Struthio camelus: one gene and its partners. The main gene of each other region encodes a partner of the protein of the gene in region 3 in a complex. Links are inferred from orthologs where the notes say so. Each region holds a gene or a part of one and is shown on either strand. Other genes may lie near its edges. The genes, in order: LIN54, E2F6, TFDP2 and E2F4.

Evidence for each region.
Region 1: TFDP2 (region 3) and LIN54 share a complex: the UniProt entries of both Homo sapiens proteins name them as parts of the DREAM complex. The link is inferred for Struthio camelus from reciprocal best matches to the Homo sapiens genes TFDP2 and LIN54.
Region 2: TFDP2 (region 3) and E2F6 share a complex: the UniProt entries of both Homo sapiens proteins name them as parts of the DRTF1/E2F transcription factor complex. The link is inferred for Struthio camelus from reciprocal best matches to the Homo sapiens genes TFDP2 and E2F6.
Region 4: TFDP2 (region 3) and E2F4 share a complex: the UniProt entries of both Homo sapiens proteins name them as parts of the DRTF1/E2F transcription factor complex. The link is inferred for Struthio camelus from reciprocal best matches to the Homo sapiens genes TFDP2 and E2F4.

Annotation. Positions count from the first base shown.
Region 1 is NC_090945.1:10,330,171-10,337,494, reverse strand, and holds the start of LIN54 (protein lin-54 homolog), read left to right. Parts: upstream 1-4,314; 5' UTR 4,315-4,509; intron 4,510-4,730; exon of another isoform or gene 4,731-4,955; intron 4,956-5,315; exon of another isoform or gene 5,316-5,646; intron 5,647-5,739; exon of another isoform or gene 5,740-5,851; intron 5,852-6,281; exon of another isoform or gene 6,282-6,802; 5' UTR 6,803-6,892; coding exon 6,893-6,914; intron 6,915-7,324. Other genes in the region: COPS4 (COP9 signalosome complex subunit 4), read right to left, coding at 876-1,027, 1,845-1,924, 4,110-4,183. UniProt on the Homo sapiens protein: Component of the DREAM complex, a multiprotein complex that can both act as a transcription activator or repressor depending on the context. In G0 phase, the complex binds to more than 800 promoters and is required for repression of E2F target genes.
Region 2 is NC_090944.1:23,562,484-23,570,415, forward strand, and holds the start of E2F6 (transcription factor E2F6), read left to right. Parts: upstream 1-4,918; 5' UTR 4,919-5,245; coding exon 5,246-5,302; intron 5,303-7,932. UniProt on the Homo sapiens protein: Inhibitor of E2F-dependent transcription. Binds DNA cooperatively with DP proteins through the E2 recognition site, 5'-TTTC[CG]CGC-3'. Has a preference for the 5'-TTTCCCGC-3' E2F recognition site.
Region 3 is NC_090950.1:15,383,308-15,391,056, forward strand, and holds the start of TFDP2 (transcription factor Dp-2), read right to left. Parts: upstream 3,003-7,749; 5' UTR 2,888-3,002; intron 1-2,887. UniProt on the Homo sapiens protein: Can stimulate E2F-dependent transcription.
Region 4 is NC_090951.1:24,434,283-24,441,414, reverse strand, and holds the start of E2F4 (transcription factor E2F4), read right to left. Parts: upstream 3,015-7,132; 5' UTR 2,966-3,014; coding exon 2,798-2,965; intron 886-2,797; coding exon 776-885; intron 191-775; coding exon 29-190; intron 1-28. Other genes in the region: EXOC3L1 (exocyst complex component 3-like protein), read left to right, coding at 4,233-4,275, 5,443-5,603, 6,793-7,012. UniProt on the Homo sapiens protein: Transcription activator that binds DNA cooperatively with DP proteins through the E2 recognition site, 5'-TTTC[CG]CGC-3' found in the promoter region of a number of genes whose products are involved in cell cycle regulation or in DNA replication.

The DNA of each region.
Region 1 (7,324 bases), on a different chromosome or scaffold from region 3:
GAACGGCATGAACTAATCCAAAAACTTCTAATTTGTAGTGCAGCTGTCTGCAGGCAAAGTAGCAGTGCTAGAATCTGGGTTTTATAAGCAGAAGTGTGGTTAAAAGAAGTAGCCATGTGATGCCTTGAATTTAATTTCTGCATAATCACTATAACATGCAGGGAAACATATTCAGTTAAGCTTTAGAGTGAAAGCTGCTTAAAAAGACAAAAGGTCAACATGCAAATACAAATCATGACAGCAACTGCGTGGTTTTTGTCCTAATATTAGATGCAGTAAGATGTTTATATAAGCATCTTCAGTAACCACTCTCAGCAAATACTGAGGTACTTGTACAAGAAAACCAAGGACAGACTTGAAAAAAGAACTGCAACGTATTCAGCAGTTTACTGTAGAGGTGGGATTTCTAGGAAACTATTTTTTCTGGTACAACATTTCTGGGCTTAAAGAGTTTTAAATGTGGGTTGTTTTTTTTTTTTAAATGTTAAGTAGCAACAGAAGCTACTTGGTAAAATACTTCTCTTTTCAATCACTTGCCCATGCCATTAGTTGGGTAATATGTAAAATAATCAGTACCAGTCTGTATCTTGACAGCTTTTCCAGTAGCTCAAGTATTGTCTCATTGTAAGAAGCCATTTTCTGGTAGTGGAGGAATTACATGCCTCGCATCCTGATTAAGAAACAAAGACTGTATTCTTTGCACAGTCCCATATCCTCACAGCATTTGGCAAAAGTTTTGCTCGCACAAGAATGCCAAATTGGACTTTAAGTAGGAACATCTGTTTTGAACAACAAATTTGAAGACTAACAATATTTAGCAGTTACACCGCAAAGCCAAGCCTGTAAACCAGAAATGCTTTTCACTGATGTCTTACCTGCTCCTCAAATGAAATGACCCTAGGCTGTATCTTTTCCAGGGTGAAGTGGTATATTTCTTTGGCTGTGCTGTCAGGAAGACTTGGAAGATGGGTACAGAAATCTGTCAGTAACTGACGTGAGATCACTAAACTGACGTTTTCATTCACCACTGGTTCAAAGACACATGGAAGAAGAATATAAGATGGAAGAAACGCATGTCAGCACTTTCACTGTAAGTGGTCTATAGCCATTCAATCACTTGCTTTAATATTAAATTTGAGCTTCTTCAACTTTTAAATCTAAATTTAAATTATGGGCTGCCCCCGCCCAAAGATGACTTTCCTTCTCTCACAAACCGATGCTATCTGTTTACACTAGAGATTGCCAGAGATTAGAACTGAGGTGAATAGCAGTGTCTTTCTTGCTCTGATTTATCGCCTAGGAAGATGTTTCATTCTGAATCGCTGTTCTCAGCTGCTAAAACGTTTCAGACAAAGTAAACATTTAGTCTAAGTTTCACTAAGCTTACTCTAAAATTCTAAATCGGATATAGCAGATATAACTTCTTTAAGTACTCAATAAGCCAAACAACTAATACAACACCAAAAAGAAATCAAACCATTTCTTCTTGGCAATCTTCCCCATTAACCTGAAACTGGAAGGAGAGAAGAGTTGTTTCTTTAAAGACAGCTTTCTATCCACTATCCATTTTACCAGTCAACAAAGACTAGTTTACATTTGTACACAGTGCTTAGGTCTACCTTCAGACACTGTAATACTAATAGGTTTGAAAGTTCCATTAACTCAGAAAACTTACAAGTCTGAATATGCTGATGTTTGGTGCCTCTTCTAGTCATGTTTAAGTTCTAATATGACTAGAATATTATACATTTATTTAGCCTCATGCAGAGCTAACAAATACGCAATCCCACAGGTTCAGACCTTCATTTAGTCAGTGTGTGAACAGTCATACCAGACACACTTACTTGCTTCTACAAAAGCTTTCAAAGCTTCAAGTTGCTCGACGCCTGATAGCTGAATGGCTTTTTCCAATATTTGACGATATCTGCCCACAGATTAAAAAAGAAAAAGTCATATTTCATATTTTTTTTAAATTAAGTATTCCTGTTTCTGTGCTTATTTTCTTCCTTAGAGTGCTTTTTCTATTTACATTTGCTGTGTTTTCGAGGTGCGTGTTTGCCCAAGTGTTTATGCTAAAATTCCAGGAACGTTCGCCTGGAACTGGTATCTGTGTCTTTTTAAAGTTCCAGGACTAGTTTCCACCGTAACATAGTTACAAATCTGTTAGTATATCTGCAATGAAAAATGCCTTTTAAGAAAATCAAAACCCCAACCTATTCCTGGGATAGTGCTTTTCTGTCTTGCCATAAAGAGAAAGCACAGGAAACGTAAAGAACGTTATATCCCTCGCATATTAAAATCAGTAACTGGTGACAGAAGTGCAAAAATGGCAGATTCAGGGGGAACAAGAAGCAGTGGTGGGTGAGAGATGGAAGTAAACAGTATACTATAGACACTTGATGGTATCATAGGCAGGGAATATACCCTATTTTTATAAAGTATTTATTATTGAAATGTTTAAATATTAACAAATCATACTCACTGCAGCTTTCATGTAGTAGTTGTATAAGGCCGGTGCAACTCTTACTGGGCCATAATCTTAACATGTACAACATTGAAAGGAGTTACATTCATGTTGAAGCTGCATTTTCAGGGGAACGTTTCAGGAATTTTTAAATATGAAGTGCCTAGATCTGAGGCAATTCCTCTAGAAAATAAGGAATTGGACTGGTAATGAAGGAATTTCAAGTGAATTGAAAGAAAGAAACTAGGTAATATACTGCACAGTGATTAAGTCAAATCCCACATCTCATATCCAAAATACCTTACTTAAATTTAAATTTTCATTGTTGACTTTTTTAGTAAAAACACATTGGAGGAGTTCTGCACGCATATGAAGCAATTGTGGGAAAGAAAATCCCCACGGTCTATCACTTTTGCTCAGTTTTCGGACAGATAGCTGAAATCGGACAGGCACCCAGAATGGGGTGGGGTGTAGGAGTTACAGTGAAGCGGTAAGGCCCAGCACAACTGCCAAGGGGCCTGCGCTAGGACAGTGAGAGCACAGAGGCACTTTTCATTGAAAACAATAATAAAGACAAGCAGGAAAAAGAGGACGAATCATATTATTTCAAGAGCTGACCCAGAAGCACCCTACCGTCAGGGCGAAGAGCTATGCCTGCTGGCCCGGAGGCCGGGAGCCCGCGCAGCCTTCGACTTGCAGGCGACAGCAGCCCCTCCGGCGACCCCGGATGGCGCTGGCGGCGAGGACATCGCGCCCCGCTTCCCCTCCCCTCAACGGTCCCGCGGACTCGCCTCAGCAACGGTCGCGCGACTCCTTCCCTCCCTCCCCCACGGCCGCGCGGACCCTCCTCAGCAACGGTCGCGCGGCTCCTTCCCCCTCACCAACGGTCGCGCGGACCCTCCTCAGCAACGGTCGCGCGGCTCCTTCCCCCTCACCCCAACAGCCGCGCGGTCTCTCCTCAGCAACGGTCGCGCGGCTCCTTCCCCCCCACCCCAACAGCCGCGCGGACTCCCCTCAGCAACGGTCGCGCGGCTCCTTCCCCCCCCACCCCAACAGCCGCGCGGACTCCCCTCAGCAACGGTCGCGGGGCTCCTTCCCCCCCACCCCAACAGCCGCGCGGACTCTTCAGCAACGGTCGCGGGGCTCCTTCCCCCCCCACCCCAACAGCCGCGCGGACTCCCCTCATGAACGGTCGCGGGGCTCCTTCCCCCCCCACCCCAACAGCCGCGCGGTCTCTCCTCAGCAACGGTCGCGGGGCTCCTTCCCCCCCCACCCCAACAGCCGCGCGGACTCTCTTCAGCAACGGTCGCGCGACTCCTTCCCCCCCCCCTCCCCAACGGCCACGCGGACTCTCCTCAGCAACGGTCGCGCGACTCCTTCCCCCCCCCAACAGCCCACTGTCGCGCGGACCCTCCTCAGCAACGGTCCCACGACCTCCCCCCCTCCCCAACGGCCACGCGGACTCTCCTCATCAACGGTCGTCCGGCTCTTTCCCTGCCCCCCCCCCCACCAACGGCCGCGCGGACTCTCCTCAGCAACGGCCGCGCGGCCCCATCCCCTCTCCCCCCCAAAACGGCCGCGCGGCCCCAGCCGTTGCCCCCAGTCGCCGCTTCCCCGCCAAGGGAAGGAGGACGCCGGCACTCACTTGCCCGCCAGGTCCTTGTGGGAGCCACTGGAGTTCATCAGCTGCGCCAGGTCCTGCTTCACCGCGGCCGCCATCTTCGCTGCGGCGCCGATCAGGCCCTGCGGCGGCGGCCGCGCCTCCTCCTACCATAGAGCAGCCGCGGGAGGGAAGGCTAGAGAGGCGCCGCCGCTTCTGCCCCCCCCGCCGGGTGGCGCGCCGCGGTCACGTGGCGCGGGCGGGCGGGCGCCGCCGCCGGCCTGTCACGGCGGCACTGCCTGCCCGGCGCGTAAAAAACACGCCCTGTACCGAGCGGGGCAAAACACCGGGCGGCCCGGCCGGCTGTGATGGCGGCGGGGGAAGGCGGCCGCAACCGCGGCGCTCCGCATCTCCCGAAAAACGCACGAACTCATTTATAGACGCAGTACGGCCGCACCCAGCCGCATATAACATACAGAAATGCATATGTGCGCGCGTGCCGGGGGGGAGGCGGGGGTGGGGCCCGCGCCCCGCCGGCGGCGCGCGCGGGCCCCGCCCCGGAAGCAGGGCGAGCCGTGGGAGCGAACGAGACCGAGGGTGGTGGCGGTGGGGAGGGGGAAGAGGAGGCGGGAGTGTGAGGGAGCCGGAAGCGCGGGGCGGGGCGGCGTGGCGCGCGCAGGGCGCTGCGCCGGCGGTTGCCAGGGCGGCGCTGCGCAGTATTATGGGATGCGGCGGTGGAATGGCGCGGGGCGCGTGATTTTGAACAAACACGGCGGCTGGTGGCGGGCGCTGCTGCCGCCGCCGCCGCCTCCGCTCCTGCCGCCGCCGGGCGCGGTAGCGCGGGAGCGCGGCGGCGGCGCGGGGAGGCGGGGGAGGAAGAGCGGCAGCCCGGTGAGTGCTAGCGCGAGGGGCGGGAAAGCGGCGGCGGCGGCGGGGGGAGGCGGCGCGCACCGGGCCCTGCACGGTGCCGGGGGGCTGGAGGAGGCCACGGCCGGGAGGAGACACCCGGTCTCCCGGCCGCGGCGGTGCCTCGGCGCTGACAGCGGCGTCCCGGCCGCCGCCCGCCGAGAGGGCGCAGGCCCGGCCCCGCCGGCGCTCGCTCCCCGCGGCGGGGCGGGCTCCGTCTGCTTGTGGGGGCTCCTCGGGGTGGGGGGGCACTGGGTCGCCCCTCCGCCCCCGCTGCCCGGTAGCTGTCTTGGGGGGGCTCCGCGGCCCGCTGATGAGCGCGGGCTGCCCCGCTTTGGCGTCTGCAGCTGCCCGTGTCCCTCGGCGGAGGCCAGAAGCGGGAGACAGCAGGGCAGAGCCGTCATCTGTGCTGCTTCGGGCTGTCGCCCGGGAGGAAGTAACTCCGCAGCCTGCGTTGGCTTTGCATTTCCTCGGAGCGCACCGCAGGCCGGCCGCGGAGGGAAATACGGATGGAGCGACTAAAGGATGGTGTTGGGGTGGGGGAGGAAACGATGGGCTAAACGTGCCTCTCCTCGGAAGCCGAGCGAGATGCGCGCTGCCCTAACGAGCGTCCTTTGCCTTGCGGCTTCCCGAAAGAAGCCGCAGCGCAAGCGGTAGCGGAGCGACGGGATTCAAGGTGAAGCAGCGACGCCAGAGCAGCCGCTGCCGCTCCGCGCCGGTGCCTCGGGGGGGGGGGCGGGGGGCGGGCGAGCGGCGGGGGGCGGGCGGCGGGGCCGCGGCGCCGGGCGGCGGCGATGACGAGGTGAAAATGGCGGATCTTTCGAAATACGGTCGCGGCCGCTGACGGAGCGGCGGCGGCGGCTCCCGCCCGCCCCGCTGAGGTGAGGCCCCGGCGGCCGCGCGCGCGCGCCCGGGGGGTGGGGGTGGGGGGCGGGAGGGGGCCGGGGCCTAACGGTCGCCGGCGGCCGTTGGCGGGGCCGGGCCGTTCCAACGGTCGCGGCGGCGGCTTCCCTCCCCCGCCCCCCCCCCCCGGCCTCCCCTTTTTTTCCCCCGGCCGCCGGCTCTGGTTGTCGCCAAATGTGGCGGGTGTCGAGGGGAGGGGGGATCCCCGCCCCGCTGCCGGGGCCGCGCCGGGGGGTCGGCACGGCCTCGGTCCTGCTGCCCAGGCGTGTCGGGGGAGGCGGGGGGGTGTTTGGGGATGACGGGAAGCACCCGGAAGGGTGAGGGGTCCTCGGCGCCCGATGGTCGGGCAGGTGTCGCCAGGATGGCGCGTGGCGGTCCCCTCGCTCCGGCGCCGGGCGGCCTGCTCCGTAAGTTGCTCGCGTCAGGAGGCAGGACAAACTGGTGGGTGAATTAGGCCCTCGGACTCTCTCATCCCGTTACTCCTTGACAACACGTAACCAGCTCAGGTTTGGGTCGCTGGCGAAGGACTGGCTGGCCTCTCCTGCAACTCCGTGTCTGTGGTGGACTTTGCCCTCCGTGAGGGCAGGTTGTCTTTGTGTTTGGAGATGCTCGGCTTGGGAGCCACAGTTGGTCGTTCAAAACAGGTTGTGGTAACAAGTGCCCGCGGTATTGTCCGTAGTTCCTCTACCGGCTGAAGTGTGAAGGTGTACCTGTACTTTCCGTCCAAAAGGACGCATGGAAACGGAGAATCCGGTGGTTTGCAGTGAATTAGCTGGACTGTCTTGCCAAGTAGTCTGAGCTTCTCACTTCATCGTTTTTGCTTCTCGTTCGTTATGGTGTATATTGCTGGTCAGAATGTGTTGTTAATTATTGGTGGCCTTTACTTTTCTGCACATCGTGTACTAATTATGTAACTTCTGATATGGCAGCTTTGAGTTCTGGAAAGCATTGAGTGTTCAGAGCGTGTGAACTTGTCGACCTCTAGAACATAACGTGAACGCGAGAAAAGCTGTCAGAAGATGTTAACTAAAGATAAAACAGGTATTTGAATGACCTTCCATAGGTTCATCCTTCTAAACGGTTGCCTGAAACACATTAGAATTGTTATAGGAAATAGTACATATAGAAAAATAATACTGAATGTTCTTTACCAAGTTTACATAAAGTTAGTTAAAATAAGCAAGTCCTAATATACCTGGCTGGTTCATTCAGAATAGCTTTTTGGCTTAGTGGGTTATCGCCTGAGAGTATTTGGTCTTTCAGAGAAATCTTTCCTCAGAGTAAAATGCCTTACATATGTCCTTTTATTCCCTAAAACATCCAATTTACATGTGTACTACCGAGTAATAGGTGTTGGTTTTGTATCATGTACATACTTACATTTAACCAATAGAAAGAGATATGCCTGTATTGTCCATAGGCAAAGCACTGCTAAAGGTTAACTTGGAGAG
Region 2 (7,932 bases), on a different chromosome or scaffold from region 3:
AAAGTTCTCCACAGTATTTCTCTCAGCTTTTTGTAATGAAGGAATTGAAAATCTCCACTCCTCTTTGGTATCAGAGAGCCTTCTACCTCAATTCTTCTCATCTAGGTTTATCAATTCTTCTTTCATGCTCAATGCCTGAAGCAGGCCAGGAGTTCTGAAGCACTCCTTCAATAACAAATACAATAAAGCCCACTTGCAACAGAAGACTTCTGTTTATAAACTGCTTAGCATGAAAATCACAGAATCACACAGAATCACAGAATGCTTGAGGTTGGAAGGGACCTCCGGAGATCATCTAGTCCAACCGCCCTGCTCAAGCAGCGTCCTCTAGAGCATATTGCCCAGGATCACATCCAGGCAGGTTTTGAATATCTCCAGCGAAGGAGACTCCGCAACTCTCTGGGCAACCTGGCCAGTGCTCACTCACCCGCACAGGAAAGAACTTTTTCCTCACGTTCAGATGGAACTTCCTGTGCTTCAGTTTCTGCCCATTGCCTCTTGTCCCATTGCTGGGCACCACGGAGAAGAGTCTGGCCCCATCCTCTCGACACCCTCCCTTCAGATACTCATACACATTGATGAGATGTCCTCTCGGTCTTCTCTTCCCCAGGCTGAACAGGCCCAGCTCTCGCAGCCTTTCTTCAGAGGAGAGATGCTCCAGTCCCCTAGTCATCTTTGCAGCCCTCCGCTGGACTCTCTCGAGTAGTGCCATGTCTCTCTTGTACTGGGGGGCCCAGAACTGGACACAGTACTCCAGACGAGGCCTCACCAGGGCTGAGCAGAGGGGCAGGATCACCTCCCTCGACCTGCTGGCAACACTTTGCCTAATGCAGCCCAGGATACCTCCAGCAAGTTCTGGTTAAGACCTCTGCCTAGAAACTCTCAGGTTCTTCCAGATGGGAGATGGCTTGCAGCCAAGTTTCAAAACCCTACTAAACACACAACATTCACTGAACCTTTTTAATAACATACAACAGTGTTCATATGCGGCAAGCACTTGCTCTTTCCTTAACCCTAATGACCTCCTCAGGGTACTTTTTCCATCTATTTAATTTCTTATCTGGGTTACAGGTACAAAAAGTAGACGGCTTAGGTTAATAGCATGTCCTAAAAAGGTTTATCTTGCCACAGATACCTATATCTATGTCTATGACATACCATGTCACAGATATCTATGCCTTTTAATTTTATTTCAGGTGTACAATGCAGGACATCACAAAAAAAAAAAAAGAATGCTGCTTAGCGCTGCTCTGTAAAAGATTTGATGCAATTTTCCCCATACTCATCTGACAAATGAAAGAAATTGACTTGATTTCTTAAATTAATGGGTGAGTATTCACCATCTATGCAGAAGCAATTTTTCTACCCAGATTAAGATAAGCAAATAATGTTTCACATCTTTATGCCTAATCATTATGCAGTGGTGAAGACCTTTAATAGGATTTCAGGAAGGCTAAGAAGCTTACATAAACAGGCATAATAATATACCAAAATATACATTTTAAACAAATACTTACAGCCATTTCTGTTTTCCATGATTTTTCAGTTTTGCGTCTTTGCAGGAAAATATTTCCCTGCTCATCTTTGCAACAGTACATACGAACCTCCTGGAAGATTCACTTACAAGTTTATTATCACTAAATAGAAGACTGTATTTAATACAGGATCTCTCTTAAGTGTGTATAGTTTCTTACAGAATAAGGCCTTGGTTTTAATTGTAGTATTGTACAAATTCTATACATATAAATAAAATAAATACATACTAAATGAGGATATAAACATATCTGTCAGGTGATATTTAGGATTATGCATACAGGCTAATAAATACTAACATGAAACTAGTGTAATAAACAATAAAAGACTAATGGGAAAGCAATGACATTCAAAACAAATTTTAAATCATTAGAGTGGGAATATAAAATATACAAAAAATTCCATTTTGTATGAAACCTAAACCATGCAGCACAAGCTTCACCATTAAAAATTTTATATAAAACAATCTAATTTCAGCTGCTCAAAATGGAAGTACAACACTTGCAGGAGAAGCACATATAAAATAGAACATTCATTTTATTAACCTCAATGGAATTAAATTACAGTAGTGAATTTTTTTAAGCAAATCATATTTTAACTTTTATATATAGCACTTTACAAATTTAGTGGAACCACTGTTCTAATATATACTAATTTTAACAAATCAGACTTAGGAAATGGAATTACCGCCCCCTGGTGGCAGATCAAAAATCAATTCAAAGTGGTAAACAACTTCAAACTGACAACCAAGCAAATCTTTCACTTTAAGAATCGTGTCCAGTACGGTTAATGCCTGGAAATATCACAAAAAGCTAAAGAGCTATTTTCGTATGCAATAAGATAACAGTAAGTGGAGTATAATTTACATTTTCATATGCTAGTGCATTAACCAAAGAATTAATGTGGAAGAGATTTCATTATCAGTTTTATTAAAAATAAATAGTAATGCACTAGAATTAAACCCTTTGATCAACAAAATGCCATAGCTGAAATTCCTGACAGTTCAGTTTCTTCAAAACCTAATTTTCATTTAAAATAAGAATCAGAATTTACACTTTTCACGTGAATGTCAAAAAATTTTCCTGAATCTGAATCAGTGTAGGACTTTTCTTTGCTCAGTTACTTATTTCCACAAGCCCATTGATAGAGGCACAGGAACAACAGAATTTTATCTTATGAGCAGCTAGAAAAACAGTACAGTGTTCTTTTCTAAAAGATGTAAATGTTGACACAATGTTTTTCACATGGGTTAAAATGGAAATGCATGTGTCCTAATCCTCAAATTATAGTACTTAGTCTTCCTCCCAGAGTCTGTCTATCCAATAATCATCAAAATTATACGTAAAGATTTTTATGCTACATGGCACATCCATTACGTAACCCCAAAATAAAGTGGTTCAAGACATCTATTCCAAACCATTTTGCTGTTCCAGATGGAAAAAATTGCTTTATCACAGTGGGTTTATACGACCTGTGACAATAAATGTAACATATGTCTTCCAGTCAAGAATACAAAGAGGGAGACATTTTGATTCCTTGTGGGAATATAGATTTATCACCTTGAAGTAGTCAGCAAGAATTATCATGTTCATAAAAAATGAATATGAATCAGGAATGTCATGCAAGTGTTTTATCTCACCGTGATGTGTTGTTGCTTCCATGGAGAACCTTTTGCATTTGCATTAGTCCCAGCTCTCCTGAGAATACAAACAAGCACCATCCGCATCTTCAGATCTACAACTCAAGTCTTCATGTCTCCTGATACACAAAAATCATAGTTTTGAGGAGTTAAAACATACTTTTTTTTCCTGTTTTTTTTTTTTGTTATAAACTGATTAGAACATGAGAACAACATACCTCAGTTCTGTATGTCTCTACAGGGACAATTATTGTTACGCAAATCATCGACTAGAAATCAGTTGCTACACAGAAAATCCCATCCTGTATCAAGAGATCTGATGTATCATCAGTGGCGCCAAATGCTACTCCAAAGGAATATCTAACCTGCAAGGATAAGAAACAGCTAGTAAATGGAAATGGATTCAATATTTTGTCAAGATAATAGAATGTTAGTTGACCTATCCCATCAGATGCATTGGAAAATGAATCAAGTCCTTCATGCCTTAGACTTCCTCATAGTAGACTAGCAGTTTCACAAAACGTCCAGTGAAATTCACATTTCTACAGAGCACCTGCTTTGAGGGTGTGGAAGGTGGGGGGGACTTTAATTTTCACCAAAAGTTGTAGAGCAGGGAAGCAAAATAATTCAGAATGTTTTCACGTAAAAGAACTCTATGACAGAGCATCTATTGTACCATATGGTAGAGGCCGTTAACTGGCATAAACAGCAATCAATCAACACACGGTTTAACGGACAAAAAGAGTTACATGTTTTACAGAAATGTTTTCATCTGACAAACAGGAGCTAGCTACTAAGCGATGCAGACAAATGAGCAAGGAAACAGTCAGTGCCTGACAAAGGATATCAGAAGTATGGAAGGAAGCACGGAAACTGCCAGTGAATTGGGTATTTGGGAAAAGATTTGAGAACTCCTGTTGAGAGGGAAACGTGCAGGCTTAGTTGAGGCAGCTGCATTTGTTGGCTCCTCTCTGGCCCTTGAGGAACGTACTCAGCTCTTCCCCCACTAACGACTTGTAATTAGTGATTCTCAGTAGGGTCATGGGATCCTGATCTCCTATGGCCGCCTGCTCCTGGCCGGTCAGGACAGGAATGCATTATTTGGCAAGAAGCAATAGTAATTATTTCCACTTGTCTTCAAAGGTGCCTGGGCAGGGCACTTTCTCCTGGCTTACATTGCACATGGAGGGAACGCAAGGATCCTGCTTTCAAATAACTGAGGTAGTGAAAACTCCTGTTTTAATCCACTTTAGACCACTGGGGTGGTGAAGGGAGTTCTCCTTGCCACCCACAGCCCACTGGAAAGACACGGGGGGAGGCGGGAGAGCAAATCTTTTTTTTAATACTGCTTCGGGGTGGGGAAAGGGGGCAACAGCGCAGGGAGCACCAATCTGGGCGATACTCGAAGAAGCCTCCTTCCCCTCGGCGCTCAGAGGAGACATCTCCCCGGCGCTCCCGCAGGCGTGAGCCAGGCAATCGCCGCCGAGCTGAGAGAGAAAGGCGCCGGCGGCGGCCACCCTCCCCCCACCGCGACCAACGGCCGTTGAGGCCCCGGCGGGCGGGAAAGGCGGCGTGGGCGGGGCCGCTGCGGGACCTCGCCGCAGAGGCTCGTGGGTAAGGGAAGTCGTCGCTCGCCGCCCTTTTGGCGGTGGGGGGGAGGGAGGTTTGTCGTCGTCACCTGTCGCGCGCCGCGCTCGCGCCCGTCTCCGCTGAGCGGGCTGAGGCGGCGCGCGCGGGCCGAGGTGGGGTGGGGAGGGGGGGGCAGCCGAGCGCGCGCGCGCGCGCGGCCGCCGGGGCCCTCTCTCCCGCCCAACGGTCCGCTGGCGGCGGTGGGGGAGGGGAGGTGCGGCCGTAACGGGCTGCGGCGAGGCCGGGAGGTCCCTCTACCACCCCTCTGTCCCCTCCTCCCTGAGGCGGGGTGGGGATGGCGGCGCCTTCTTCCGACATGGACTCGCAGCCGCCTCGCCGAGGCCCCTGAGCGCCCTCCCACCGCCGCCTGCCCGCCGGGCGGGAGAGGCCTGCCTCAGCGCTAGGCCGCGGCCGGCCTGAGGAAGGAGGAGGGGCCGGACGAACATGGCCACCCCCGCCAAGTGGGAGCGTCTGAGGCCGCTGCAGCCGGACACGCTGCGTGTGAGTGAGGGACACGGCGGGCGGGCGGGGAAGGGAGGTACTGCCGGCGGATGGGGCTAGGGCGGGACGGCCCTGCAACGCTGTGCTCCCGCCACTGAGCGATTTAAGGCGATCCGGGAAAGTCTTTCCTCTCACCTGTCTGGCAAGATATCCCTGAGCGGGGAAGATGTGGTGTGCCTGGCCTGAGAAGTACACAGAAGCATAGTGATGCTTCCCTCCCTCATGGCTTTTTAGCAGGCTGCCTGGGAGAGGAGGCTGTCATAACGTTAGTGAGTGCAAAGCAATGTCTTTCCTAGCTGCGCTAACTATAACCTGTTAGTCGAGTTAACTAGGTTGTAGATGTGTTTGAAAAATCAGTTGCAGGGTGGTGCTTTATTTTACTCTTATATGAACGTCTGTGAAGTTCAGGTAATCTACTTTTCTGTGGTATCTGGCATTACTTTTAGTAATGTTACGAGGTAGCTAATTAAAAATAGGTTTACTTTTAATTCTGTGTCACTTTCTTTAAGAAATGCTTGGTTTTATTAACTTCAGCTATTGGGCTAAATGTTATTTGGTAGCATTGCCTTCCTGCTATGAAAAGGTTTCCCTGAATTTTTTCCATCAGTAGTTGAAAATTTCTTACTACTAGAGATGGTGATTTTTAGAGACAAAGGGTGTAGGGCACAACATAATGCCGCGTGATGGATCAGCCAACCAGAGGTGCTGTCTTGAATCTGCCTCTCATCAACAAGGAAGTCAAGAGTGTGGTAACCATTAGCAGCCTTGACTGCAGGGGCCACTGAATAGTGGCGTTCAAGATGCTAAGTGTAGTGAGGACGACAAGTAGCTGAGCGCGGATGCTGGACTTCAGGAAAGCAGACTCCAGCTTATTCAGGGAACTGGTAACTGAGATTTTTTTTTGGAAGGTGACTTTGTAGGGTAGAGGAGCTCAAGACCTGGGAGTTCTGGTAAGCACACCTTCACTCAAGCATGGGAATGTATCCAGGAATGTACCATCCAGATACACAGGAAAACAAGATGTGTGGAGGCATGGCTATGCCTGAGCTTGGGGTAGGGGGATCTGCAGGTGGTGGAAGTGAAGTCAAGCTACAGAGGAGAATTGTCTGGACATGTAGGCATGATGTAAGGAAAGCTGTAGCTCGGTTAGTGTTGAAACTGCCAACGGATGTCAAGGGTGACAAAGAACTTTTACCTTAGCAGTAAAAGAATAAACAGGAAAACGTGGATCTGCTGTTGAATGGGGCAAGTGATTTAGGGACAGCAGACACAGATGAGGTTGAAGTACTCGGCCTTCTTGTTTGGGTCTTCAGAAGCGAGGTTCTGTAGGCTCTTGTATCTAAGGATAGGGCTCAAGGAGAAGAGGAACTACCAGTAGTGGCAAAGTATCAAGTCTGGGATTTCTTGAGAAATCTCAGCCCCTACAAGTCTCAACAGGACCTGACGGGATGCTTCCAGAGGGATCTGAGAGAGCTGACTGATATCATTGTGAGGCTGATCTCTGTCATTTTCAAGAGGTTGTGGAGATCAGGTGCAGGTTGGTCAGCCACACTTCAGTCTCTCAAAAACCATGGAGCGAGTTCTCTTGGAAGGCATTTCTTAGGAACGTGAAGGAGAAGGTGGTGACTGGGATTAGCCAGCATGACTATTCTTGCATGACCAAACTGATTATCTTTTTTGATGAAATGACTAGCTCTGTAGATGCAAAGTATTGGATATCATCTGCATTGACTTTAGCAGCACTTTTGAAATAGTATCCCACAGCATCCTTGTCTTCAAGCTGGAAAGTTACAGATGGTCAGCTGCATCTATCCTGTATCTTTATGGGTGATCTGTAGGAGGGCGTGGGATGTGCTCTTGCCAAGTTTATGGATGACACCAAATGAGAAGGGGAAAGTGCCATAGACCCCTAGGCACAAACTGGAGGAATGGTTCAACAGGAGCCTTATGGAATTTCATAAGGAAGTTGACAATTCAATTCAGACTAGAAATCCGGCCACCTGACCCTATAGCCCCCAGTGGTACACACTGGGAATTGAGTGGCTGGGGAACAGCTCTCCTGAAAGGACCTAGGCATCCTCGTGGACAGTAAGCTAAATGTGAGCCAGCAGTATGCCTGGTAGTGATGAAGCCCTGTGGGACTGTAGCAGCAGGAGCATAGCTAACAAATCAGAAGAAGTGATTATTTTTCACAGAATCACAGAATGGTTGAGGTTGTGAGGTTGTGAGGTTGTGTCTTCTTTATCTGGCGCTTGTTAAAGTACTCTTGGATTACTCTGTCACACTTTAAGAACTCTAGTACAGAAAGGATGTTGATAAACTTGAGTGCTACCAGCAGAGATCCACCAAAAGCGGTCTGGAGATTAGTGTACATGAGCTATGAGGGAAGCTGAAGGAGCTGGGCTTTTTAAGCCATAGCAGTGTTCCAGTACTTACTAGGAGGTTATTGAGAAGATGGAGCCAGGCAGTTAACAGTAGTCCATGATGGAAGGATGAAGGAACCTCTCTCGCCTCTCTTCTTTCATTTCATGCCTTTTTTCCAACTTGATATAAGGAGAAATGTTTCACTATGAAGAGACACAAGCAGTGGAAGAAGTTGCCCGGAGAGGTGCAGCCTCTATCCTTGGGGG
Region 3 (7,749 bases):
AGAAGATGTATACAAAGAATCAAAATAGGAAGTTCAGTTATAACACTGCCACTCCCCACTGCACCTCCACCTTTTTACAGTACTACCTAGCATACACCTAGTTCTTGAGATCCCTCAATAGGCATCTTATATATGAACTTTGATTTAATATATGTACTATTATTCCACTAAGGATTGTTTTCCACTGAATATCTTAAATTTTATGATAAACTTGTCTGATTGATTCAGATTGGCTTTGCACCCGGAAACTCCATAAGTTTATTTTCTTGCACTAGATCAGAAAAAGGATAATCAACTCACTCTATTTTAAAATTCACTATTGTTTCACTAGTAGTAGTCACGTTCTATGAATATAGTCAGAAAGGTGGGTGAGAAATCCTTAATCGTTATACCAAAAAAGCATGCAGAAAAGGCAATTTAAGAAAACATAGCAGAATAAAGACAGGGCTAAGAATGCTATTTTAAGGTAGCATATCAAGGAAATCAACTCCAAGAACTGAATTAGATTAGCTATAACTAAAGAACCCATTCTGATTCAAATTAGGACCCACGGGCGTAAATATTAGTATTTACGCAGCATGGGCCTCAGCTTCCCTTCCCTAACCATATCAGGTCACTAATTGCCCTTTGCTTTTAGAGAATTGCACCAAACTCTTCTAGGTACAATGAAGTGGTCTGCTCCCTTAAATCAGTTAACGATATACACTCTAGAAGGGGATGGAAAGTTGGAAATTTGGTTCCTTTTTTTGGCTAGTCCTGTAACAGCACTTTTAGCCAAACCCACAGAAAGATGCTGAAAGGCAAGGCCTTTTCTTCATTTTGAAGCGGCGCACAACTGTCCAGCAAGTGCGTCCAGATGCACAAGAGGCCCCTACAATAGAGTCCAACGTACACAAAAGCAGAAGCAAAGACTTCTCATGTAGCATCAGATCTCTTGCAAAACAGCACTATGCCTTTTGCCCAACTAAGTTGTTTGGCCTACCCCTTCTATACCAGGCAGCTGGGCTCAAGACGTATTGAAAACTATACCTTATCATTTTGTAGAGCGAGAACAACAATCAGAACTTTTTGCGGCAATGAAGAGCACGCCTATCAGTGATGCATGTTTTCTATAAAGCTAACTACATCAGCAAACTAATAGTTAAATAGTTTCTTTTTTCTCCTCTGTGCAAAAACAGTGATTTCTGTGCAAACAGGAAGTGGTTAAAAGAAAGCCCAATGAATTTGACAGTAAAATAAGATTGCTCTTAAATTCAACCCATATGAGATAATCTTGCTAATATTTAGTCATTTTCCATTTTTTCCTCAGTATAACACTAAATTATTCGCTCTATTATTCTTACCTCTAGTAGAAGCACTTGACTCTCTTCACAACAAAAAAGTTTTCAAAGAAGAGATATCTGTACTTTTTTTCTTTTGTGACTACTTCTCTTGTCAAGGCTTTTCTATAGCATGAACTTCTCCATGCTCTTTCAAAGCGCTATATTTAGCATACTAGATGCTATTTTGAACAGAAGCTACTGAAATTCAGGACTTGACTATGCACAATGGTTTTGCGCATACATGACACTGGCACAAACCTAAGCTGCTAAATAGAGTTCTGCATATGTATTACAACACTGATCTTCCTTTATGAGACGTTGTCCATGCATAAAATGATGTTTTCTGTAGAAAACAAAATATATCCTAATCAAATGATTCAGATTTAACCTGGGGAGGGCAGAGCGCTGGAAAATAATTCATTCATTTCTCTTTTAGTAGCATCAGTTCATAGCAGCATACAGTTGTTTTTTAATCAAAGATTACATCAAGTGGCAAGTAATTAAAATAACATCACATAACATATAGTTTGTTGACTTTTTTCTATCAGCAACGCTAAACTATGTAAGGGATAGCACTGAAAAAGACTCATCAACTGTTAAAAGTATTAACGCAGTTTCATTAAAATAATTGCATATAATCATTTTTCATTATTATACAGCACATCTGTTAAATTATATCAGCTTAACTATCATAAAAAACGACAGAGAAAATGAAAACCAGAGTCCTTTCTACAGAAGAAGGCAGCATATGAAGAAACCGTCCGAGCTCTCACACATAGTTCAGCACTATCTCTCTGCTCCATGGGGAAGCAAGTTCCCAGATGTGTTTTTTTTCTTCCACATCTCAAGGAAGTTTACTTATTCTATGCTTTCCTGCTATTGTTGTGCCATGCCTTTACGATCTGTATTCCTAAACCCGAAAGGCTGCGTTTACATTCGGACTCCTCTCCATCTTTAAACCCGTTTCGGCTGAAAAGTCAGAGGAGGCCTGCAACTCAGAGGGCACGGGAAGAGGCGTCTATTTAGTTCACGCTGTTATTGTTTTTCAAACCACCAACCCTCCCCCGAGAGAATCCGGCAGTCAGCGCAACCACGCGAGGCTGAACGCAGGGCTCGCCGGGCCACGAGCCGCTGGCTGAGCTCCGGCTACCGGGGGGTGGGGGGGGGGCCCCCGCCGCCGAGGCAGCGCCCCCCGCCCCCGCCGCGGCGGCCCAGCCCAGTCCGGCCCGGCCCGCAGCGTAGCGCTCCGCCCGCTCCCGCGGCGCGCAGGGCGGCTGTCACCCGCCGCCGCCCGCAGGTGCCAGGCACCGGCTCGACTCCCCGCCGGGCGCGGCAGGCGCCGCCGCCGCCTCCCCCGCGCGCCCGAGCCGCCAGCCGCCGCGCGGGGGGGGGGGGGCGCGGGCGCAGCCGTTAAACGCCGCGGGGCGCCGGGGGGGGGGGGCGGGGGAGGCGCCGCCGCTGCGCCCCCGCGGGAGGGGGGGGGGAAAGGAAGGAGGAGCGCGGCGGCGGCGCAGGCCCGGCCTAGGCATCGGCGCCGCGGCGACGAGACAGCGACGGTCCCTTACCAGACGGCGAGGCGGGGAGCCAGCCGCTCCGCCCGGCCCCGCGCGGAGAAGACGCCTCTCGGCCGGGCCGGCGCCGCGCACCCGCCGCCAGCGAGGAGGCCCCGCAGACGGGAGCCCGCCCGGGCCGGTGCGCCAGCCCCGGCGGGTGGCGTCGACTGCAGCTCGGCCGCCGCCGCCGCCACCTCCCCCCGCGCCCGGCCCCGCTCGCCGCCGCGCCGTGCTCTGCCCGGGTCCTTCTCCCCCGCACAAGCTTGGCGGCGTCTGGCAGCCGGGCGCTCCCATTGGCCGCCGCACCGCGTGAGCTCGGGCGCCCGCCGCGCGCTATTGGCTCGGCCCCTTGTGTGTACACACGCCGCCCGCCAATCCCCGGCGCGGCGGTGCAGGGGGCGGGGCGGAAGGGCGGAGCCGGCCGAGGGCCGAGGCCCGGGGCCGCCGTGTCCCCTGACGGCCCCGCGGCGGCGGCGGCGGCGGCAGGGCCGCGCCCCCTCGCCCCACCCCGCCCCGCCCCGCCCCGCCCCGCCCCGGGCAGCCCGGTAGGGGCAGAGCGGGCGGCGGGGCCCGGCGGCGCGGTGACGGCCGCTGCGCGGGCGGCGGGACGGGCGGCACTGGCCTGCCCGCTGTGAAACAAAGGCCGCCCGGGCCGAGCGCGACCCCCGCCCCGGCCCCGCCGTCCCGCTGCCCAGCGGTACCTGCGGGACCCTGCCGCTGCCCTCTCGTCATCAAAAGTTACTTTCAACAAAGCGGGATTAAGTATTCCTAAAGAGACAAAAAGAATAGACAAGTGTCTTGGGAGTTTTAAAAAAAAAGGGGGGGGGGAGCAACCCTAGACTAGTTCCGTTCAAAACCACGACGTGACATTTCTGAAAGAAACGAGAGCTCCAGCAGAGCGCTAGACATGCGTCCCAGGTATGCAGTAACTCTTCGTTTTTCTTTTTTTTTAATTCTATAACACAAAGTCACTCTAGTGCTACTCCGGGGGGGAGGGGGAAGGGAGTATTTGTGTGCCGAAACACTATTATTTCCATGTTTTAGAAATATCTAAGCCATACAGAACAGAAAATTTGCTAAATCCATGTTTTTCTCCCTTTACAGACAATACTAAAAGATAGATATGTTTGATCCTATCCCCCTAAAAACAAACAAACAAATGGTGTTCAGCTTGTAAATTAGGGTTCCTAAACTAAAGAGTAAGGAAATAATTGGAACAGGCAAGCAAGAACTGTGTGTGTACTTCACTGGGACAATTCACAACAGAAGACTGAGCGCGCGTCCAATATTTTGCTGACGACGTGTTTTCAGTTTCCCTTCATCCTCTATAAACTACTTCTGTCATATGCAACAAGATCTTTATCAATATTTGTAGTTTTATGCAAGACACCCTCATGAAAGCACTAAACAAAAATGCCAACTATTGCGTCTTCTCTCAAAGACCCTTGTAATAGTTCTAATCACAACAGTTAACAGCAAGGCAACTCAGACAGGCCCTGACAGAGGCGCAGAAGGCAGGCACAGCCTTAGAAAAGAAAGGAAGCAAAACAGAAGTAAACCAGGTTAGCTGGTTTACCGCACTGTTCAGTAAGTTACCTGTGCTGAACAAATACCTGAACTTGAAACGCAGCCCCAGTAAAGACAGTTAAGCTCTTTTTAGTTTCCTGTTCTGCTACAAGAAACAACTATAAAATGAAGTTGGATACTGTAACTGATTACGAATATGAAAAATACACCTTTGAACTATTATGGAGGAGAGAAATAGAATAAAGCACGCTGCTGTAGTTTGCACAGGCTTTCAACAGTGACCTGTCCAGAATGAGAGGGCTGTATACATAACGTGCATGTTCAAAGCTGCTGGAACAAAGATCAGTTTGAAAGACAGTGTAAGCGCAGTTACTTCTGTAACAATAAATAGTGGTATATAATGTATTAGAACTTAAATTCCAAACTTTATTCCAAAATGAGGACCACATTGCAAAACATCCTGGATTTGGTTTCTTATATTAAAAAAAGACAGCTGGGGAGACAGCACAGACTGAACAAAGGATGGATTTTCTAAGAGCAAAGCCTGCGAGGCAGGAGGTGCTGATATCTGCCCCCAGAAGCGGTCAGTGGTCTCCCAGCCTCCAAATACCGCCTTGCTCCCTCTAGCTCATCGTATCCCGTTCAGAGTTTTCCCTCCCTTTCACAACGCATCACCTTTCAATTTTCACTAGTTTCATCGCATTCTCGCTAGCCCCGAATTCTTGCTGTAATGACCTATACGAACGCCAGTCCGAACAAAAAATGCACATACTTTTCTCCTGCTGAACTTGCTATAACTCACTATAAAAACTTCAGGCTCACTCAAACGCTGCACAGCTGAGTCAGAGCACTACCACACTCGTGACAATCTGCAGGACTGACATGTTGGTGGGTGCTACAGTTTGAAGACAGAATGATGACTTTGTCCTTCATTTTTGGCTTGGACCAGGAATAGCAAGAAAATCTATATTCCAGGCAAGAAACAGTTCTTACCTTTTTTCACAGGCTGCTGTCAAATGGTGAGCCACTGGGCTGCTCTCTGATCTCGGATACAGTGGAACTAGCTGAAGGATCTTGCTACACAGACCACACCAAAAGGAGCCTAGCAGACTGAAAAAGCAATTTGGTATTTTTCTTTTCTTTTTATTCTTTAAACTTTCTTTTGAGAAAAGAACATGTATAAATGCTCTTGTCAAAAACACCTAAGAGCAACCGCATTTGTTTTGCATAAAATTAACTGTTGTAGGAGAAAACACCGCCTAAAAGAAAACAGTACTCAAAAAATCTTGGAAAAGTTATTTCCAGTGAGATTTTAAAACTAGCTGATTTGATTCTTTTCTTAATTATATGAGAAAACTTACACCACACCTACTCAACGCAAAATGATTTTATACCATCAGAAGATTATTTCATCTGCCCTATTGACATGCAATAATTAACCAATAGTTGCAGATATTTGAGAGATTTTTCATGTCACGTAATCTCACATGATAATTTCACCCCAATTTGGCAATTTTATCTATATCCATCAACACCATGTGAACCTGTGAAGGCAGAATGCCCAGAGATCATTAGCACATCTCTCCATTGAATTCCCAATCTTCGCATGCCTAATTTAAGTGCGTTACCACCCAGTCCCAAGCAGAACATTGACAGACAAAATATGATGCACCTCTTAAAATATTACAGTACAAATTAGTAATGTTTACCATTTTTGCATTATTATCTTCACTATCAAACTCGGCTGCTAGCAAATGTAGAACTGCATACACTTTCCAAACTGATGAAAACCACCCTCCAAGGCAGAATCTAAAATTAAGTTAAAAGGGACAAGTAACAGCTCTCATATTTTAAATAAAAGTTGATATTAATGAGCCTACACAATGGTCTCAATGCCTTTTAATGTAGTAATACTAACAAAAATTGAGACAGCAAAGGGTCAGTAAAAGTACATCTAATTGCTTAAAGCCTATTTCACATTCATTAGCAATTAAAGGGTATTAAAGTATCAGTATACTAAAAACTTCCTGAAAGGGTAAAATCAATTTTTTCTTGTAACAGATACAGAAAAGACGTTTACTCTTCAGTAATTAAAGTTCTTCAAGACGTACTGTCTATTAGTCTGTTCAATCTTTGGGTAGCTACACATCGCAAGCTACGGTAGATGCTCTTATCTCTAAAGGCAGCTCCATCTTGGCAGACTTAACAGCACCCCGTTATCTGTTTCAGAGGTGTACTCAGTGCTTTCAACCTCTCCACAGTGGAAACAATAACTTTAGAGATCATTTGAAAGGTTTGGCGGGTGAACATAACAGGGTCCTTCTGCATCTTTACTTTGCAGTGAAGTTTCTGCCTTAGAGATCTGAGGCTAGTGAAAGGAAAAACAGGTTAAATGTCTTGGTTCAGATTTAAACAGTCACAGCTGTAAAGAATTATTCTGAACAGGTCCTCCAGAACACTACCTAGACAAAGAAAACTGTTTAAGGGCTTGAGTGTCTTCCCTCTTGCTAGCTGTGCTACGGCAAAGGCGAACACCAGCACAGTGAAAAGGTCCAGTAGCAAGGCTCGTGGCGAGTTGTTCACTTGGCTCCTCTGGCAGTAACTCAGAATTGTTCAGATCTTAGATCTAATCAGCCATTAGATCTTCGGCTGTGAGCAGGGCAGGGGAACCCTAATCAAGCCCAGCAAAAACACAATTATGAAACGAAGATAAAAAGTCAAGGATCCTTCGTTAAGCGGATGATAGGTAGACTTGATGAAACTAAGCTCCTTCAGTCATAACAGCATAGAATACCAGCAAATTGAGGCCGCAAGCTTCTGCTCAAAATGCCAGACTCAAACCCTGGTCAGTTTGGCTTAATAAAACCTACTTGCCAATAATGAGTATTTTCCTTGGCAGTGAGGCTGAGATGACAAAGCAAATCACAAGCTGGACATGGGGTAGAAGCAGACGAGTGTTCCACGTGTTCTTTCCTTACACCAGAACGAGGAGCAGAGGGGCCCTTATCAACAGGCTAATAAGCCTTGGAGTCTGGATGACCACATTTTCATGGTCCAAAAAGCAAAGTTTGAAATTTCTATAGGTACCAGTCTGCTGCATGACTACAGATCAAAGAGACCCCTTTCCGGACTTCAGGTCAGGATTCTCATTTAAGTATGTTCAGGAGAGAAGATCTCAAGAAAGATGAGCTTTAGCCAGAACTTGATCCAGATCTGCTGTACATTAAGTAGCACATTACTACAGCTGCTCTGGATATCTCAGCTCATAACCACAGGAACAGTCAGGTTGACTCACTGAAGATTTGCTTAGTGGGGAGGGCTCCCTACCAAGTCTCAGAAGAGTTATA
Region 4 (7,132 bases), on a different chromosome or scaffold from region 3:
TGGAGTAATCAGTTCACACAAAGGATATCGACTGTTCTGCACGTCTTCTGTAACATTTTTGATGCTCTGTTGGACCCACATCTTCTGCTGCTCCAGCTCCTGTTCCCGCTGCTCCAAGTCTTCTATGTCTGCCTTCAGCTCAATGAGTTTGTGAGCTATTTCACGTGTGTTGCAGCCAGGACCCACCCCTCTGTGCAATGTGAAAAAGGAATAACATGCATCAGCGTCTTGAGCCATCCAAACCAACTCCTCTGTGCAATGTAAAAAGGAATAACATGCATCAGCGTCTTGAGCCATCCAAACCAACTCCAACATTTCTCTTGCTGCCATCTCTACCATATGCCAAGCTCAGATCTCCCAGAAAGCCTTACCTGTACCTGTCCTACACCCTTCCTAGCATAGCAACATTTAGCACATCCTCCTACATCCCACCGGCTAACAGGACTCTCCCACCCCAGTGCCACAGCAGGCATTTTTTCTAATCCAAGGCACTACAAATACTTCATCTGTGCTCAGATAACAGCTCCATTAGAAAAGGGACATGCCACATGTACTTCAGCTTTCCTCATTACTAGCAACAGCACAGCTCAGCTCGGGGAAGCACAAGCATGCATAGACCACTGAGGAAGCTTTCCCTGAGCAGGGCATTTTAACCACAATGTTTAAACAACAACCACATGAAGCCCTGCTATCCTGCATGGGGAAAAGACAGCTGTGAGATAGGACCTTGGACTAAAAGGGATCTATGAACAATTTAGTCTTCTCTGTCACTCACTTCCATTGGATACTGTTCTTCGATTTCTTCTCGATCAGTCCAATGCCTTCCAGGACATTTGTGATATCGTATATTCGTCGTTTCTGCCGCACCGCTAGGGTATCTGCAGCCTGCAGAAAAGTTGAAAACTTAACTCCAAACTCTCAGCCACCCCTTGCTCCCCACCTCATGCCTCTCTTGCCCCAGCGCCTCAAACTACAAAGCCATGTTCTTAACATCGTTACAACAATCAGAATTAGTCACTGCCCCTTTGTTCTTTTTCTTACCCACAGACCTTCCCATTAACCACAAATCTAATTCCAGCCACCTCATTCAGGGCTGGTGCAAAAATCATTGTTCCTCAACAATAAAGCTGTGCTAGAAGACACTAGTCTGGCAGCCTAAAAATTCAGTGCTTGTTCAGTGTAAGACAGATGAGAACGGACAGGAGAAGGTAGAGAGATGCCTATACAGTTGACCACTGTTCAGTAAAGTGGATGTTTAAAAGGTCTTTTCTATCTACATCTCATGCCATTTGATAGAGAGAATCAACACCTTCTCAAAAGGCAGATTTCTTTATATGAAAGAGTCTCCACTGGGGGAAGAATAAGTACAGTTATAAGGACGCAGCTCCTGAGCAACCCTCGTGCTTCCCTGCCTTGCTCGCTGCTGTTTTGCCCCAAGGGTTCCACTACTACAGTTCTCTTCAGCTTGCTGGATACTCCAGACAATGTTGAGCCTTTCGTTTCCACTTTCATAGGGCAATTTAGCAGCACTAGGTGTTTAGCTGGCACTGTGCTGGCATGCTAGAATACTACAGATGGCATTGCACAGCCAGTCAGACACAGATGGTCAGCACAGAAATGACTTTCCTCTCTCACACATCTTCACGGTAATGGACCAGGGCATTAGAGACCCTGCACAGCACTACTGCTCAAATCACACTGACAAATATGAATCCTAGTTAATGTATATTTTGAGCAAGAAAATATTGCTCTTCTGACAAAATCCAAAGAGCTAACAATTTGCCATAGCAGAGGACTGTAGTCTACAACCAGAAGACTCCTCCCGACCCTCCATTTTTAGGGCTTTCCCACACCTGCCTGGAGCCTATGCAGGGGTTGTCAGAGTGAACTCACACACATAGCCACATAAGAGATTGGTATAAACCACACTGAAAGAACTTCATATGCAGAGGAGGCCTAGATATAAGTATTGCATATTTCATTAAGAGAGTTCCTTTCTCTAGGTGAAGATCTTGAAAATGCATGAGCAAGGTGCACTTGCAGAACACTTGTCCATAACATAAAGGCATCAGGGCACAGTCCCGGCAGAGATGAATCTGATTTCACTCTCCTTCCTGCTGTATGTTAGAAGGCCAAAATGCAGTAAGGAGCAAGTTTCTCCATTTCTGCAGCTCTCCGATGAGGCATTACAGGGATCTATCATTACAACGTCTGTGTTCAAGTAGCAGCTTTGGGAGATTGGGGCACCATGTGACAGAGCAAACATGAGGCAGAAGGCATGTTGGACTGAACAGCACCTGCACCTGGCCTTCCAAAGCCTGGCCAAGAACGTGGAAGAGAAGAAGATAGCCCAACACAGTTCAAATAGAAATACAAACGCTGAGTGATGAGAACTATTTGGAAGGAAGCTGCAGGAGGGAATATCTACACTGTGATGGTAAGTACCCGGCCACTTCTGCATGTTCTATGTGCAGTCTGGTAGCTCTGCCACATCCCCAGCTCTTCCCGGGGACTTCTCTCCTAGGCTGAGCTCTTTATCTGCCTGATGAGGAGGCCTCACCTCCCTAGACCTGCTCCACTAGAGATCGCCATTTCCACCTACGCTCTCCCCCACAAAACCTGCTTCACTCCCCGGAGGACCAGCCACCTCTGTGCTTGCCGGCGCTTAGCTCAGCCGTGCCCGCAGGAGTTCCAGCAGAACTCCTCAGCTCCCCAGCTGCGCCGGCTCCCGACTCCCAACACCGGCGGAGCTCCCCTTGATGCTGGCCCCAGTGCGGCGGGGCGGGAGAGCCCTCACCACCCGCCGGTAGCCCCGCACCAGCTTGAGGTCCAGCACGCCGTCCTTGGCCTCCTGCAGCAGCGACACGAACTTGGTGGTCAGCAGCCCCAGGCTCTTCTCGTGCCGGCTCGGCGCCCCCGCAGCCCCGCTCCCACCCCCGGGGGGCTGCGGCCCGCACTCCGCCATCTGCCCGCCACCGCCGCCGCCGCCGGCTCCGGCCGCGCCGTGCTTCCGCTTCCGGGCCGCGGGGCATGACGGGAACTTCCGCTCCGGGGTGGCCTGAGGGGTGGGGGCGGTGGGGGCGCCAGGCGGGGCAGCGCGCATGCGCATGTGCGCGAGGTGGGGCCGGGGTGGGCGAGGATGGGTGGGGTGCGCGCTGGGTGCCGGGGCGGCTGCTGCCGACTAGCGGGGAAGGCTGGCCTCGGACACGGACGTCGCAGAGGCGCGCCCTGCACCCCTCCGCCTTTGTCCCCTCAGCCAGGTTCGCTAATAAAGACGTTGAACGGCCATTGGCCCCAGGACCGATCGCTGAGGGACACCACAAGTGTCTGGCCGCCAGCTGGACTTTGTGCCGCTGGGGTAACAACTCTTGGAGCCTCGGGGAAACTCGGTGTCGCGTTTATACAGCAGCAACGCAGTGGTCTCTGGTTTGCTCCCAGGTATTAGACCTTTCCTCAAACTTCATGGCAGCTTTGGTGTTTTGGGAGCCTTTTTTGAGGTACCTGCTACGTTTAGTTTGGTCATCACGGTAGATTATGAACTGGGTGTCCCTGCTGTATACCCTGCCTTCAAGTCGTACCTCGGATTTGCTGAGGTTTGACCCTCTTCCCCCCTGCACCCTGAAAGTCCTCTCAGGCTGCATTCATCCAGGCAACCGTTCGTTGGTAGTTTTGTTTCCAGAGATGTGTAGGGCAGCAGCCTCACCTGGGCAGAGTGAGATCTCTGACCGTGCCACCTTCTGGTGGGCTCCTGCTACAGATACAGAAAGTGCAATGAACACACAAACCCAGCTCACACTGCCCAGGCAGGCACCCCTGGGCAGCCAATACCGATTAGGGACACCTCACTACCCTCCTTGAGCCACACGAGCTGCTTTGCAGCCCTGCACTGCAACATCCAGCTGTGATTGAGACCACCCCACAAGGCAGGCACTGGGTCTATGTTGGCTGCATGCCCAGGATGAACCAAACTGGGGGGGGGGGGGAGGGGGAGGGGAAGAGGGGGGGTTGGGATGGGAAGGGCACACAGGACATGATTTCTATTTGCAAAGCCTGCGACCTGCAGTGACTACAGTGCCTTCCCCCGCTCCCCCCAGTTCCTGACATCCTGAGTGTGTCTGCGAGAACACAATGAGCCCCTGAGGAGTGTGCATGCACTCGCTGAGGAAACGGCTGCCGGCTTCCTCCGCACAGCCCAGCCCTGCACCCTGGAGCTTGCACGCAGCACTGAGACGATGGGCATGTCTGCGGAGGATGAGCACACCGTGAGCCCCAAAGGTAATGGGGACAGCGCGGTCCCCCACGGAGCTGGCATCCTGGGCAGGGGAGGGATACAATTACTGGCAGTGCATCTCCAGGGCTAGGGGCTCTCAGTGATGCCTGTGCTCCCCCAGCCTCTGCCCAACCATCTGATGGACCTTTTCCCCATGCCAGGCACAATGCCTTCTGCCTTTGGGTGGGTGGAAGCCCAGCCCTGCTTCCTGGCAGTGATAACCACAGCAGGCTGGGATCATCCCTTGCTGCGCAGGGTGATCTCCCCTCCTTCCTGATGAGCTGCCCATCTTTTTAGCACTTACTGGGGACAGTGCTACCCGCCGCACAGCTCTTCCCCAAACCTGCTGCTTTCCCCTGAAGTCCACGGGCCCAGTGCAGACAGGCTCATCAGGAGCATGGGACCCTAGCTCGGGGCTAGGTGATGTCCCTGTGGGGCTATGGAGGGTCCCAAGCTGGGAGAGCTTCTGGAGAAGGGAGAAAACAATGAATCCAGGTGCTGGGGATGGGGGTGAGCATGTGATAATTGTGCCAACTCTCAGCCCCAGTCCTGGAAAGATGGCCACTGGCATGTCTTCATACCCTGTACCAGGGCCAAGGCAGGACACAATGGCTGGCCCCACACAGCTGCAGCCAGTGCCTGTGGGAGACTGAAAAGTCCAGGAGCCTCCTGGCCTCACCTCAGTCTGACTCTGCCTTCAGTAGTGGAGCTGCCCAGGCAAGGGTGGCCCCAGGGCCCTCTAAATCAACCCCTCTGGGGACTCCTTCATGCAGAGAGACTGTGCAAGCTGTCGCCCCTCCATTCCTTCTGCTGACTCATTGCTGAGGACTCAGCCCTGCCAAGGCCTTCCCAGGTGGTGTGAGATCCCTCCCCCACCGGCCAACAAGGGGACACACTCCCAACTTTGGTGACAGCCTGAGCTGACAGGGCAGTTGGCAGCTCTTTGGGGTAGTCCTCTGCCATGACTGCTGCATGGCCTCCGACCTGTGTCACTGGGATCCCTCTTGGGGCCCTCCCGGAAGGGCCTGCTTGCTGCTGCCTTGTCTGGCTTCCCACATCTGTGTGTGCTAGAACATCCGCTTGTGGCCGGTTTCCTGCCTCTGGCCCTGGGGGCCCTTCCTGCCCCACAAGGAGAGGCACATTTCACTCATTAACCCCGGCTTCACCCCCAGATGAGGAATGGCCAGAAGTGGAGAAGGCTGAGAAGTTAGCAAGAGGAGCTGCTCTGAAATGGGCTTCAGGGGTGTTCTACTGCCCCGAGAAACTAGAAGGGCTTGGGCAGTACCGGAGCCGGGAAACACAGAGGAACAGCTCCATCCAGTCCCGGCTGAAGGTGGGTGTTTGCCACATCCCACCTGATGAGCACACACAGCTTGACTCTCTTCCCATGCAGGGATCCCAGCCAGGGTCTGGTCTTCTGCATCAAATCACTTTTTTTGCACTTCTGGAACAATCTTGTCTTTGTGCTGGCTTTTGATGGGAGAAATGCTGTTGTTGGGGGGGGAAAGAGCCAGGAGAACCCCCTCCTGCCCTAACCCTCTTGGTTGCAGTGTGGTTAAAGTGCTAAAATGGGATTCCTGCATCTCTCTCTGTAATTAGAAGCAAAATACCAAGGATATCCAATGCATCCCATGTGCAGAAACCAGTGCTCCCTGTTGCTTCCCTATCCCAGCACCAAGGGCTCCCTTTCTCTATGGCTGGGAGGAGGTGAAGAGCTCCAGCCTGCCCCATCCCTGCCTGCAAATCCGCACAGGAGAAACAGTATTTTTACACAGAGATAAGGGATTTAACTGGTCACTGTGCATGCCTACCTGGTCAGGGTGACTCTATGATCCTTTTTTATATGACCTCAAGAAACACTGACCTCAGGACGTGAGTGGTCTGAGCACCTTGGACCTTGTCCTGGCTATCCTGATTTCGGAGATGGTTTATCCTGCCCTAGTTGTGGGGAAATTGTCCAGGAGAGGACTAATTTTAAGTAATGTGGCTTCAGAGAAAACCTGTTTCTGTCAATGCTGGGTAAAAATGCTTCTTCATATCAGAAGCCAGAGGTGAAAGGGGCGGAGAGAGCATGGAGACGTACCAGTGCCACTGGAGGGCTGAAAAGATGGAAATCCATTTTGGAGGAACGTTTGTGTGGCCACTGAGGTGTTTCGTGCCATTAATCTGTCTCGGGGGCGCAGTGGGGACCTGTGTCCTGCAAATATTTTAGTATTATTTTAAAGCTGAAAGCAGACATCTGGGCCATTCCTGTCACTGGAGCAAAAGGGTGAAATGGGCCATTCCTGTTGCTGGAGCGGGTTTCTTGGGGCTGGGTGTACATGGGGAGAGCAGGAGCTGTGGGATAGGGACATTGTGGGAGATGTGGGAGATGTGGCAGCATAATGAGAGAGGCAGATGCAACCTTGTCGGAGTGCAGACCACGTGCTGCAGAGGCCTGGCAGGGCTGGAACAAAGGGTGTGCGAGTCCCCCATCCTTTGAGAGCTTCCCCATTGCTCCTTCATCCTCTTCTGCTCCCCAGTCGACTGTCCAGTCCTACCTGGAGGGAGTGAACGCAGGGCTGCAGCAGCTGCGGTCAGCGGCCGAGGAGGTGCAGAGTGTGTGCCAGGACTTGGGGGCTGCACGGTGGGCCCTGCTCGACAGTGCTGACCACTTCCAGGTCTTGCAGCAGATGCGGGCACTGATGGCGGAGCATGTGCAACTGGCCTCAGTGGTAAAGGTCCTGCCCCAGCTATTCTCAGGTAAGGTATTCACCCAGTCCTTGGGGGTTTTGGCTGAAAGGCACTTGGGAGTGCTCAAGTGCAACTCTGGCTTCATGCAGGGAGAGCCCCTTTGCTCTTTGGTGGCAAAGTTAGAGCAGG